Sus scrofa: one gene and its partner. The protein of the gene in region 2 interacts with the protein of the main gene of each other region in a pairwise test. Links are inferred from orthologs where the notes say so. Each region holds a gene or a part of one and is shown on either strand. Other genes may lie near its edges.

Region 1 (5,728 bases), about 5.9 Mb from region 2:
CCAGATGTGGCCCCCCATGAGCCTGTCTGTCTCTCAGGGACCCTGGAGGTGCGTGTGGTGGGGTGCAGAGACCTTCCAGAGACCATCCCTTGGAATCCCTCACCTTCGGTGGGGGGGCCTGGGACCCCCGAAAGCCGTACCCCCTTCCTGAGCCGTCCAGCCCGGGGCCTTTACAGCCGAAGTGGAAGCCTCAGTGGCCGGAGCAGCCTCAAAGCAGAAGCCGAGAACACCAGTGAGTGGGCATTGAAGGGCTGGGGGTGGGGTGGGGGTGGGATCCTGGGATGGCCCACCTTTGTAATATTGTAAGAAATGAATACATCACACCCACAAGGATGGATATGGTCAAGCAGAACAAACCAACAGGTGTTAGGGAGGATGTGGAGAAATTGGAACCCTTCTACACTGTTGGTAGGAATGTAAAATGGTGCAGCCACTGTGGGAGACAGTATGGCAGATTCTCAACTAATTAAACATGGAATGACCATTTGACCCAGCAATCCCACTTCTGAGTAAATACCCAAAAGAGTTGGAAGCAGGGTCTCAAAGAGACATTGGCACACCCACATTCACAGCAGCATTATTCACAAATGACCAAAAGGTAGAAGCAAAAGCAACCCGACGTTGATTGATGGATGAAGGGATAAACAAACTGGTTCATCCACACCATAGGATTAATATTTTTCAGCCTTAAAAAGGAAGGACATTGGAGTTCCCGTCATATCGCAGCAGAAACGAATCCAACTAGGAACCATGAGGTTGCGGGTTTGATCCCTGGCCTTGCTCAGTGGGTTAAGGATCTGGCGTTGCCGAGAGCTGTGGTGTAGGTTGCAAACACAGCTCGGATCCCATGTGGCTGTGGCTGTGGCATAGGCCAACAGCTGTAGCTCCAATCTGACCCCTAGCCTTGGAACTTACATGTGCCAAGGCGGGGCTCTAAAAAGAAAAAAAAGGGAAAAAAAAGGGAAGGACATTCTGACACATGTGACAATGTGGATGAACTAGAGGATATTACACTAAGTGAAATAAGCCAGTTACACAAAGACAAGTAGTATATGATTCTGCTTATATAAGTATCTAGAGTGCTCAGTGTCATGGAGATGGAAGAAGTGGTGATTGCTAGTGGTTGAGGGTGAGGGGGAGAAGAGAGTTATTGTTTACTGGCAACAGTTTCAGTTTGGGATTATGAAAAGAGTTCTGGAAATGGATGTGGTGATGATTGCACAACAGTGTGAATGTACTTGATACCACTGAGCTGTACACTTAAGAATTATGACCATGGTAAATTTCATGTTACATGAATTTTACCTCAATGTGGAAAAAACTAATACATACATTTTTAAAAGTGTGAAGAAAAAAAAGAATAACAATAGAGTAACCACCTATGTTACCACCACCTAGGTCAAGAAATAGAATTGTCTGGAAGCCCCCTCATGTCCCCTCCTCAATTCCAGCCCCTTCCTCTGCCCTAGAGGTAGCTACTCTCCTGACTTATGTTTATCATTTCCTTGCTTTTCTTTGTAGTTTTAGCTCCCATGTACACATCTCAAAACAGTATAGTTTAATTTGCCTGTGTTTGAACTTCATATACATGGAATCATACAGAATGTATTTCATGGGAATGGCTTCTTTTATTCAGCATTGTTTGGGAGAGTTATCCATATTGTTGCATGAAACTATATATAGTTCATTTGTTTTTACTCCTGTTTGATAATCCATTGTCTCAAAACAAACCATATCAAATTACTCTTTTTTTTTAAGTAAAAAATAGTTGAATATCAGCAGTTTCATGGTTTAGCTAATGACTGTATTATCACTGGTATATTAATTCTCTTGTTCATAGACAGTGAGATGTTCCTAGTTTAGAGTTATTGTATGAGCATTATATTTATGTATCTCCTGATGTTTACTAGCATGCATTTTTTTTAGGGTTAATGCTTAGGAATATATTACTGGAACTTGCATAGAGAATAAAAGTGAGGAGTTCCCTTGTGGCTCAGTGGATTAAGGATCCAGCATTGTCACTGCTGTGATTTGGGTCACTGCTGTGGCATAGATTCAGTTCCTGTCCTGGGAACTCTTACATGCCAGCAGGTTCAGCCAAAACCTGAACACACCACACAGAGAGATCCACTAGAGAGAGATTAAAGGACCCAATGTGAAAGGAAGAACTGTAAAGCTTTGGCAGATAGTAGAAAATCATGAGGGGAGGAGAGGATTTCTTTAATAAGATACACGAAGGATTACCCTCCTGAATTTCCTGACACCCGACCCCCACCTCTGTTCCAGGTGAGGTGAGCACTGTGCTCAAGCTGGATAACACGGTTGTGGGACAGACGTCCTGGAAGCCATGTGGCCCCAACACCTGGGACCAGAGCTTCACCCTGGAGCTGGAGAGGGTGAGCTAGGTTGGGGGGGGGTCACAGGGCTTGAAGGTGGAGGGGTTTGGGGCCTTGAGCACCCCAAGTGAAGGCCCTCTTCTTCTCCCTTGAGGCACGGGAACTGGAGTTGGCAGTGTTCTGGCGGGACCAACGGGGCCTGTGTGCCCTCAAATTCCTGAAGTTGGAGGATTTCTTGGACAATGAGAGGCATGAGGTGCAGCTGGACATGGAACCACAGGGCTGCCTGGTGGCCGAGGTACAGCCTGACCCTGATCCTAAGAAAATGTTTTTTGCATCTCCTGCTCTCAGTTTTCTAGAAGGGGAAGTTATGTTTTGCATTGGTCTCTGAACCTTGATAGAAAAGTACATGTAATTAGTCACATCAGTGTATGACTTAAGCTGGGACTGATTTTTGCTTTGAAGCAAGATATTAAAAAGAAGGAGGAGGAGTTCCCGTCGTGGCTTAGTGCTTAATGAACATGACTCCATAAGGCTTCAGGTTCGATCCCTGGCCTCGCTCAGTGGGCGTTGCTCTGAGCTGTGATGTAGGCCACAGACATGGCTCAGATCCAGTGTTGCTGTGCCTGTGGTGAAGGATGGCAGCTACAGCTCCAATTTGACCCCTAGACTGGGAACCTCCATATGCCATGGGTGCAACCCAAAAAAACCAAACAAAAAAAAAAAAAAAAAGGAGGAGTACCCATTGTGGCTCAGCGGTAACAAACCCAACTAGGAAAAGAAAAAGAAAAAAAGAGATAAAAAGAAAAAGAAGGAGTTCCCATTGTGGCTCAGCAGGTTAAGAACCCAACATAGTGTCCATAATGATGTGGATTTGATCCCTGGCCTCGCTCAGTGAGTTAAGGATCCAGCATTGTAGCAAGCTGTGGCACAGGTTGCAGATGTGACTCAGTTCTGGCATTGCCATGGCTGAGGCATAAGCCAGCAGCTGCAGCTTCAATTCAGCCAGCAACCTGGGAACTGCTATATGGTGCAGGTGTGGCCATAAAAAGAAAAAAAAAATAAAAACATTAGTAAATCTTCACTAATTCCTAACATGTAGGGTTTTTGTTTTTTTGGGGTTTTTGTTTTTGTTTTTGTTTTTTTCTTGAAAAAACATCCAGAAAAAGTCAAACTATTCAAGGGCTATTTTACTACCCAGGGAGGAATTTTTATGTGATCTCACGATCAAGGACCTCTGAAGGAAAGGAGCCGAGAAAGGCTGGCTTCAGGTGGCCCTGAAATTATTCTTCTGTTGGGAAGACTGTCCAAAACCCAACTGGCGAATGGTGGTGGGTAGCCCGGGGGACAAATTCTGAGACAGTCCTGCTTACCTTCAAGGTTTATAACATTCTGTTTTTCTTATGCCTCCCCCAAAGCACCATCCTGTAGAATTTTCTGCAGTTCTGTTGTCCATGAGCCTACAATAGTTGAGTTCTATTGTAGGTAGAAATGTTCTATATCCATGTCATCCAATATAGTAGCCACTGGCCACTTGAAGTATGACCATTGCAGCCAGGGAGCTGATGTTTTCATTTTTCTTACATTTTCCTTAAATAGCCACATGCGGCTTGCAGCTTGCGGCAACTGTACAGGACACCCATAAAGTCACACAGTTCTGTGACTTTAGCACCTTCTAGAAGATGTGTTAGTTGGGAGAATTCAACTAGAGCAGTGGTTTCCCCCACCTTGGTGGACACCAGCATTACCTAGAGGGCTTGTTGAAACACAAATTGCTGGGCCCTACCCCCACCACCACCACCAGTATTTTTGACTTAGTGGGTCGAGGTGGGCGGGGGCCCTGAGAATCTGCATTTCTAGCAGGTCCCCAGGTGATGCTGATGCTGTTGGTCTGGGACCGCACTTGGGGAATCAGGATACTAGATCGATCAAGCATAGGGCCTGTTTGCTGGACTTGTATGTATGTCTCATTGGAGCAGACCCGCTGCCCACCCCAAGGGGAGGGCCTGCTCACCTGCTGCTTGCCTTTCCAAGATGGCACTTCAGGAGGTGGCCCTGTTGAGGGATGGCTTGGTTTTACCACCTCTTAATAGAGTGCGTAGGATTCTGTAGCTGGACACGATGCCACAGTGATTGGAAACCCTGAAACATCCGAGGATGCGCACCTATGCTTCTAAGGGCTCCTCCACCACACTGCCCGGAGGTGGGCGAGGGTTCTGACACTGGCTCCTCCCCTCAGGTCACTTTCCGCAACCCTGTCATTGAGCGAATACCCCGGCTCCGACGGCAGAAGAAGATCTTCTCCAAGCAGCAAGGTAAGGAGTTGGGCCAGGGCAGGGGAGAGACCAGGGGTCCTGAGGGCGTCACGGAGGCTGACACCTGCCCCCATCCGCCCAGGGAAGGCCTTTCAGCGTGCTAGGCAGATGAACATCGACGTCGCCACCTGGGTGCGGCTGCTTCGCAGGCTCATCCCCAACCCCTCGGCCATAGGCACCTTCAGCCCGGGGGCTTCCCCAGGACCTGAGGCTCGGTCCACAGGGTAAGGAGGGAGGGCCCCGGGGTTCCAGCTGCCCCTGGTTGCCTCCCTGGGTGCTGGGTCTTCATGCACCTTCCTCCCTTGTGCTGCAGTGACATATCTGTGGAGAAGCTGAACCTCGGGACTGACTTGGACGGCTCGCCCCAGAAGAGCCCTCTGGGTCCTCCTTCCAGCCCATCAAGTCTGGTGAGCTTCCCTCTTGGCCTGGGCACTGTCAGGAGGTCTTCTTCCCAGCTTGAGTCCCAGAGACTGCTAGGACCTCCCCTAGGTCACACAGCACATCCCTGTCAGAAACAGGGTCCTATTCTCTATCCTGGATAAAAACATGAGCTCAGTGGTTCAAGGATCCAGCATTGTCACTGCTGTGACTTGGATTACTGCTGTGGCACAGGTTCAGTCCCTGGCCCAGGAAATTCCACATGCTGTGGGCATGTCCAAAACGGAAAAAACAAAACCTGTAAGTCCTGTCCCTGCCATGCTGCCTCTAAGCTGTGTGACCCACACCAAGCCACTTCAGCTCTCTGTGCTTAGTGTATTGCCCTATAGAATGAGTATGTTTAAAACGTCAATGACAGAAGTCAAGATAGTGGTTCTCTTGTGGTGGGGGGGGGGCGGTTACTGATAGGAAGAGGACACGAGAGCCTTCTAGGATGATAGGAATGTCCTGCATCTTGATCTACGTCAGAGGTCAGCACATTTTTTTCTGTAAAGGGCCACATAGTCAATGTTTTCAACTTTGTGGGCCAGAAGGTCCTAGTCACACTATTCAATACTGCTGTCCTAGAAAGTCGCCACTCAGACAGACGTGAAGGGGTGTGGCTGTGAGCCAGGAAAGCCTTACTGAATGTATATTACT
Region 2 (5,241 bases):
CTCTGCACCCCTCCCTCCCCCACTCTGGGCCCCTGGTGTCCCCACAGAGAAGAAGCTGGAGGAGTTTTCAGTGGAGGAAGCCGAGGTGCTGCAGATCCTCACTCAGGTCAACGTGGTGCGGAGGGAGTGCGAGATTGTGAGTGTCGGGGAGGGGGCTGGTGTGAGACGGGAGTTGGACCTCCGGGCCCAGGGCGTGTCCTTCAGGATGGTGACCCCCCATGACGGCCTCTCCCTGCCCCCCAGAAACTGGAGGCGGCCAACTTTGATGAGAAGAAGGAGATTAACAAGCGGAAGCAGATGATCCTGGAGGGGAAGGTGAGGGCTGAGCTGGCTGGGGGAGGGGAGGGGAAGGTTCCCCGGGGATGATCAGCTTAGCCACCTTCTGGTCCTCCTTGTGTCAGGATCCGGACCTGGAGGCCAAGCGCAAGGCGGAGCTGGCCAAGATCAAGCAGAAGAACCGGCGCTTCAAGGAGAAAGTGGAGCAGGCACTGCAGCGGCAGAAGGCTGGCAGGGCTGGCCACGGGGGCTGTCCACCCAGGGCCCAGCCCAGGGCCCACTCATCTCCAGCACCCTCTCAGGGCCCAGCCTGAGTTCCACACCACTCCCACTGTGCCCAGTCTCCCTCGGTGGAGCCCACGGACACCCACGTTGTGCAGTGCACGGCCCCTCCATCCTGTAGCCCCTGGTGGCCCCTTTTCAGAGCCTTGGCCAAGAGGCAGCCTGCAGAGGAGGAAAGAACACTGGCCATGAGGTTGGGCCCAAGTCCACATACAGTGACCCCAAGCCAGTGTCACCCTGGGTGTGCAGTGGGGCCACAGAGCGAAGGCGTGTCACTTGCAGGAGATGCTCAATAAATGGATCTTTTGACTTTCCTGGTAGGACTCTCAGGGAGAGGGGGCAGAGGGAGGAGGGTGTGGCCGCCTGTGGTTCTCCAGCCCCTCAGAACATCATGTCGCCCCCACCCCTCCCCTCAAGTTCTTCATTCTGCTGGACCAGCCCCAAAGCTTTGAACTGCAGGGCTGACCATTCCAGCTAGGTGACCTTGGGTTGGTGAAGCCCCTTATATGGGCCTCATCTGGAAAATGGGAACAGCAAGTGCCCTACTCTGCAGATGCAGATGTGAGGTTTAGGCGAGATCACATGCTAGCGAACACAGCCATGTTCTAGGAGCTTCCCCACCCGCCCACCTGGTGGCATTGGGGGTTTATGGCCAGAGCGAAGGGGGGCAGGCTTAAGCAGGGTCTGCCTTAGTCCAAACTGGTCCAGAAAACATGGGCAGAGCCCTCCAAATGGCTTACCAAGCCCTATACAGACTGAGGGCGGACAGAGGGCCCAGTGACGGCGGTCAGGTACCCATGGCTCACACACCACACACACACAGCCACGCTTAGAAATGTAATGTGGGCACTGGTATGCACCCCAGGGAGTCTAGAAATTCTACACAATGAAAAGCTCAAAAACAGCCTCCGAGCTGTGAACAGCCGGGGCTGACTAGAGTACGGTGGACAGGCCTTCCCCAGGCTGAGCTGGGCCCCAGTCCCTGTCAAGGTGAATGGCCCACTGTGCCGCCTGCGGCCTGGCCCGTGCCCCAGGCGGGAATCGTTCATGTAAAACCAGCTCCCGTGGGCACCCCTGCCCCCACGTAGACCCGGAGGCAGACTCAGGGCGCGCCCTCGGCCAGGCGGGCCAGGCCCTCCCGCAGCTCACTCAGCTCAAAGAGCCTGACGTCCAGCAGCTGCGCGGCCCGGCCCACCTCGGCCCGTGCCCGCTCCCGCTCTACCCGAGCCTCCTCCAGGCTGCGCTCAGTTGCCCGCAGCTGGTGCTCCAGTTCCGCGTTTCGGGTCTCCAGGTCCTGCAGGGAGAGGGCAAGCAGGGTTGGGGGCCCCAGCAAGTTTGAAGGGTCCAGCATCTCAATGGTATCCCCACAGCCTCCACTCTGGGCCAAACCTTCTATGTCACCTGGCTTCCCTGGTCCCCCTGCCAACTTGAACATCATTGAACTGACCACTTTCCTCTTCTATTCAAAACTCTCCTGTCACCTATCACGCTGGGAATGAAATACATAGCCCTCTTTCCTCTCTTTGTTCATTCCAACTCAGCCTTGCTGGCTTCCTTGTGGTTTCTTGAACATAATGACTCCCCCACCCCACCCCAGGGCCTTTGCACATGCTGAACACTCTGCCCAGAAGAAAACAGGGAGCATCCCTCTCCCAATTTCTCTCTCTTTGGGGGCAGAAGAGATCCTCTAAGTTCTCTACCTGCTGGACTCACAGGACATGCCCCCAGGAACATTTCTCAGATAAAGTCTTCAGTGAAAGCCAGGCCAGCCGCACATGGGTACAAATGAAGGCTCCCAACCTCAGGCTGGGGATGTGTGAGGATTTGATGGGGTCAAGAATGGAGATTCAACAGAGATTCAAAAACTGCTTGTTGGGAGTTCCTGCTTCGGCTCAGTGGGTTAGGAACCCAACTAGTATCCATGAGGAGGTGGGTCTGATTCCTGGCCTTGCTTAGTGGGTTAAGGATCCAGCGTTGCTGCAAGCTGCTGCGTAGGCCATAGATGTGACTCGGATCTAGCACTGCTGTGGCTGTAGGGTAGGCTGGCAGCAGTGGCTCTGGTTTGTCCCTTAGCGTGGGAACTTCCATATGCTGCAGCTGTGACCCTAAAAAGCAAAAAACAAACAAAAAAAACAAAACAAACTCAAAACTGCTGGTTGCATGAAAGGAATGAGATGAAATATTATACTAATAACTTGCTTATAAACCACCCACTGTGACTCAATCCCTCCATGTACCTGGTCACCTGAATCCTTCACAACCTTAGATGTCTTCCTGACTGCATTCATAGATGAAGAAACTGAGGCTCAGGGAAGCACATAGCTGCCCAGAACCCACCAGGAAAGGGAGATCCCATGTCTGTCCCATACCAGGGGCTGGGGGCCCTAGGCAGTCATCCCACCCTCACAGCAACCACACACACCTGCACCTTCTGCTGTGTCTCCTCACGTTCGGTGGTGTCTGGTGCCTCTCGGGTCCCACCAGTCTGGCTCTTCAGCGTCTGGATCTCCTGGTGGAGAAGTTCCCAGGATCTGTTCTGAGGGTCCTGGCTCCCCCATAGGAGATCAGGGAAGGCAAAGTCCAAGGAAACACACATGCACACAGACAGTTCACACACCTGGTCCTTGGTTTGCACTAGTGCCTCCAGTTGCTCCAGAGACTGGCCCGGCCCCTCCTTCTCAGTGACTGTGGGTGGCTCAGTGGCAGCCTGGGCCTCCAGTTCAGCCACCTGCAAAGATAGGAGGGTCAGTTCCCTGACCCCCAGTCTGTACTCTGCTGACCCGTGGGGAATATGCCTCCTGATCAGTCAAGCCCATGACTGGGCACTCACCCCTTCTATTTGGGGCCACCACCCTGACTCTGGCAGATGAGACTTTAGGGTCCTAAAGGTAGGACAACCCTCTGAGGCTCACATTATTTCAGACCCATACTACAGAGCACAAAACTAAGGCTCAGGTCAGGGAAGAGACCTGCGGAGATCACACAGCCAGCCAGCGGACCCGAGACAGACAGGGCGCAGGGACTTCACAGTGGCCTGGACCACTTGGGGTCTCTGGGAGGGAGGGGCTCCCTCACCCGCTGCCGCAGCCTGTCGGCCTCTGCGCGCTGGGCCTCCAGCTGCTGCCTCCACTGGGCGGCGGCGGCGTTGGCCTCTCGAAGGGCGCCCGCCAACTTGTTGTTACTGTCCTGCAGCGCGAAGAACTCGGCCTCCCACTGCACCTCGCCCACCGAGCTGCGGGAACACTGGAGTCAGCAGAGGGCAGGGCGGGGCCTCACTGGGCGGAGGACCGGGTGAGGGCGGTGCTGTGCTAGGGGGCGTAGTTATGGGCGGGGTCAAGATACCTCGAGGCTACAGGGTGGGAAGGTACCGGGGGAGGCGGGGTCTTGCGCGGGCGGGGAGGCGCTGGTCAGTTTTGAGAGACGCAGTCGGAATGCCGAGCAGGATCAGCCCAGGGGGGCGTGGACAGAATGAGGTGGGGGTAGGGAGGCACCCGTGGGTTTAGAATTAGCTGGAGGAGGCGTGGACGGCCGGGGTTAGCCCGAGATATGGAAGATGCAGGACTGGGTTTGGCTCTTGTAGGAGCATAATCTGGGTGTCTCCTCCCCGACCCCAAGCCTTGGGTCCACTGTTAGATTCCGCCGCCTGAACGAGTCTCAACAGCTTCTGGGAACCTCCTCTCCCCCGCTTCCCCTTCGTCCTGCCTCACCCCTGTGCCCCGCCTCACCCCTCGGACAGCATCTTCTTGAGCCTCTCACGCTCAGTGGGGCCCGGGGCGTCCGCGCTCTGGCTGCGGAATAGCTTCTCATCGCCGGGGCCGTTGGCGCTGACGAGGGGGCTCGGGGGCACCTAAGGGTGTGGGCAGAAGTAAGGACACAGTGGGGGTGGCTTCAGTCAAGGGCTGGTTAGAAGGGCATTATTGGGATCAGGGTTGATGTTAATCGCTCGGGTCGTGACAGGGCAGGGGACCCTTCCCAGGTCTGGGATCTGACTGCGCCTCTCCCCTCCTCACCTACCGTCCATGGAGCCCCTGCCCTCTGGGCTGGAGTTCTGGGCCCTGCCCCAACATGGCCCGCTGGGCTCTCACCAACTCCCTAGGGGAGCAACCCTGAGGCGGGCCAGCCTAAACACAGGGAGATACTCAAAATCTGCAAAGGGGAGGCGGGGTTTGCAATCTGAAGCCTCCCTGTTATTCCCTCATAGCATTGACCTTCCCTGGGGCCAAATTTCAACATCAATTTAAGATTCCTACAGGAAACTCACTCCATCAGGCTGGATTAATTATGAATCCCCTTGCTGCCAGGACCATAGCCCTGGGGGACCAGCCAACTTTTTCATCTCCTTAACCCCAGTGCCCAGCCCTGGGTGAGACACACAGTAGGTGGTCGATAAATTATAAATAAATTAGTGGGGGAAATGCCCAGGGACAGTTTTTTTTTACTCTGCTCCTCTACTTAGCCGTTTCAACTTCCATGTCTCAACTCTGCCATGTGAGCTGGTTCTCTGGCCTTCTTCTATTTTTTTTTTTTTTTTTTTGTCTTTTTTAGGGCCACACCCGCAGCATATGGAGGTTCCCAGGCTAGGGGTCTAATCAGAGCTGTAGCCACTGGCCTACGCCACAACCACAGCAAAACGGGATCTGACCTGCATCTGCGACCTACACCACAGCTCACAGCAATGCTGGA

The links. The genes of interacting proteins can lie anywhere in the genome.
Region 1: the proteins of HOMER3 (region 2) and PKN1 interact in binary tests that used the Homo sapiens proteins (3 or more experiments, as listed by UniProt). The two-hybrid records come from large-scale screens. The link is inferred for Sus scrofa from reciprocal best matches to the Homo sapiens genes HOMER3 and PKN1.

What each region holds. Positions count from the first base shown.
Region 1 is NC_010444.4:64,806,866-64,812,593, reverse strand, and holds part of PKN1 (serine/threonine-protein kinase N1), read left to right. Parts: intron 1-37; coding exon 38-232; intron 233-2,286; coding exon 2,287-2,396; intron 2,397-2,490; coding exon 2,491-2,634; intron 2,635-4,575; coding exon 4,576-4,651; intron 4,652-4,733; coding exon 4,734-4,875; intron 4,876-4,964; coding exon 4,965-5,058; intron 5,059-5,728. UniProt on the Homo sapiens protein: PKC-related serine/threonine-protein kinase involved in various processes such as regulation of the intermediate filaments of the actin cytoskeleton, cell migration, tumor cell invasion and transcription regulation.
Region 2 is NC_010444.4:58,918,616-58,923,856, reverse strand, and holds the end of HOMER3 (homer protein homolog 3), read right to left. Parts: intron 4,406-5,241; coding exon 4,284-4,405; intron 3,791-4,283; coding exon 3,634-3,790; intron 3,287-3,633; coding exon 3,176-3,286; intron 3,068-3,175; coding exon 2,981-3,067; intron 1,853-2,980; coding exon 1,661-1,852; 3' UTR 1,383-1,660; downstream 1-1,382. Other genes in the region: probable ATP-dependent RNA helicase DDX49, read left to right, coding at 48-136, 244-315, 402-590. UniProt on the Homo sapiens protein: Postsynaptic density scaffolding protein. Binds and cross-links cytoplasmic regions of GRM1, GRM5, ITPR1, DNM3, RYR1, RYR2, SHANK1 and SHANK3.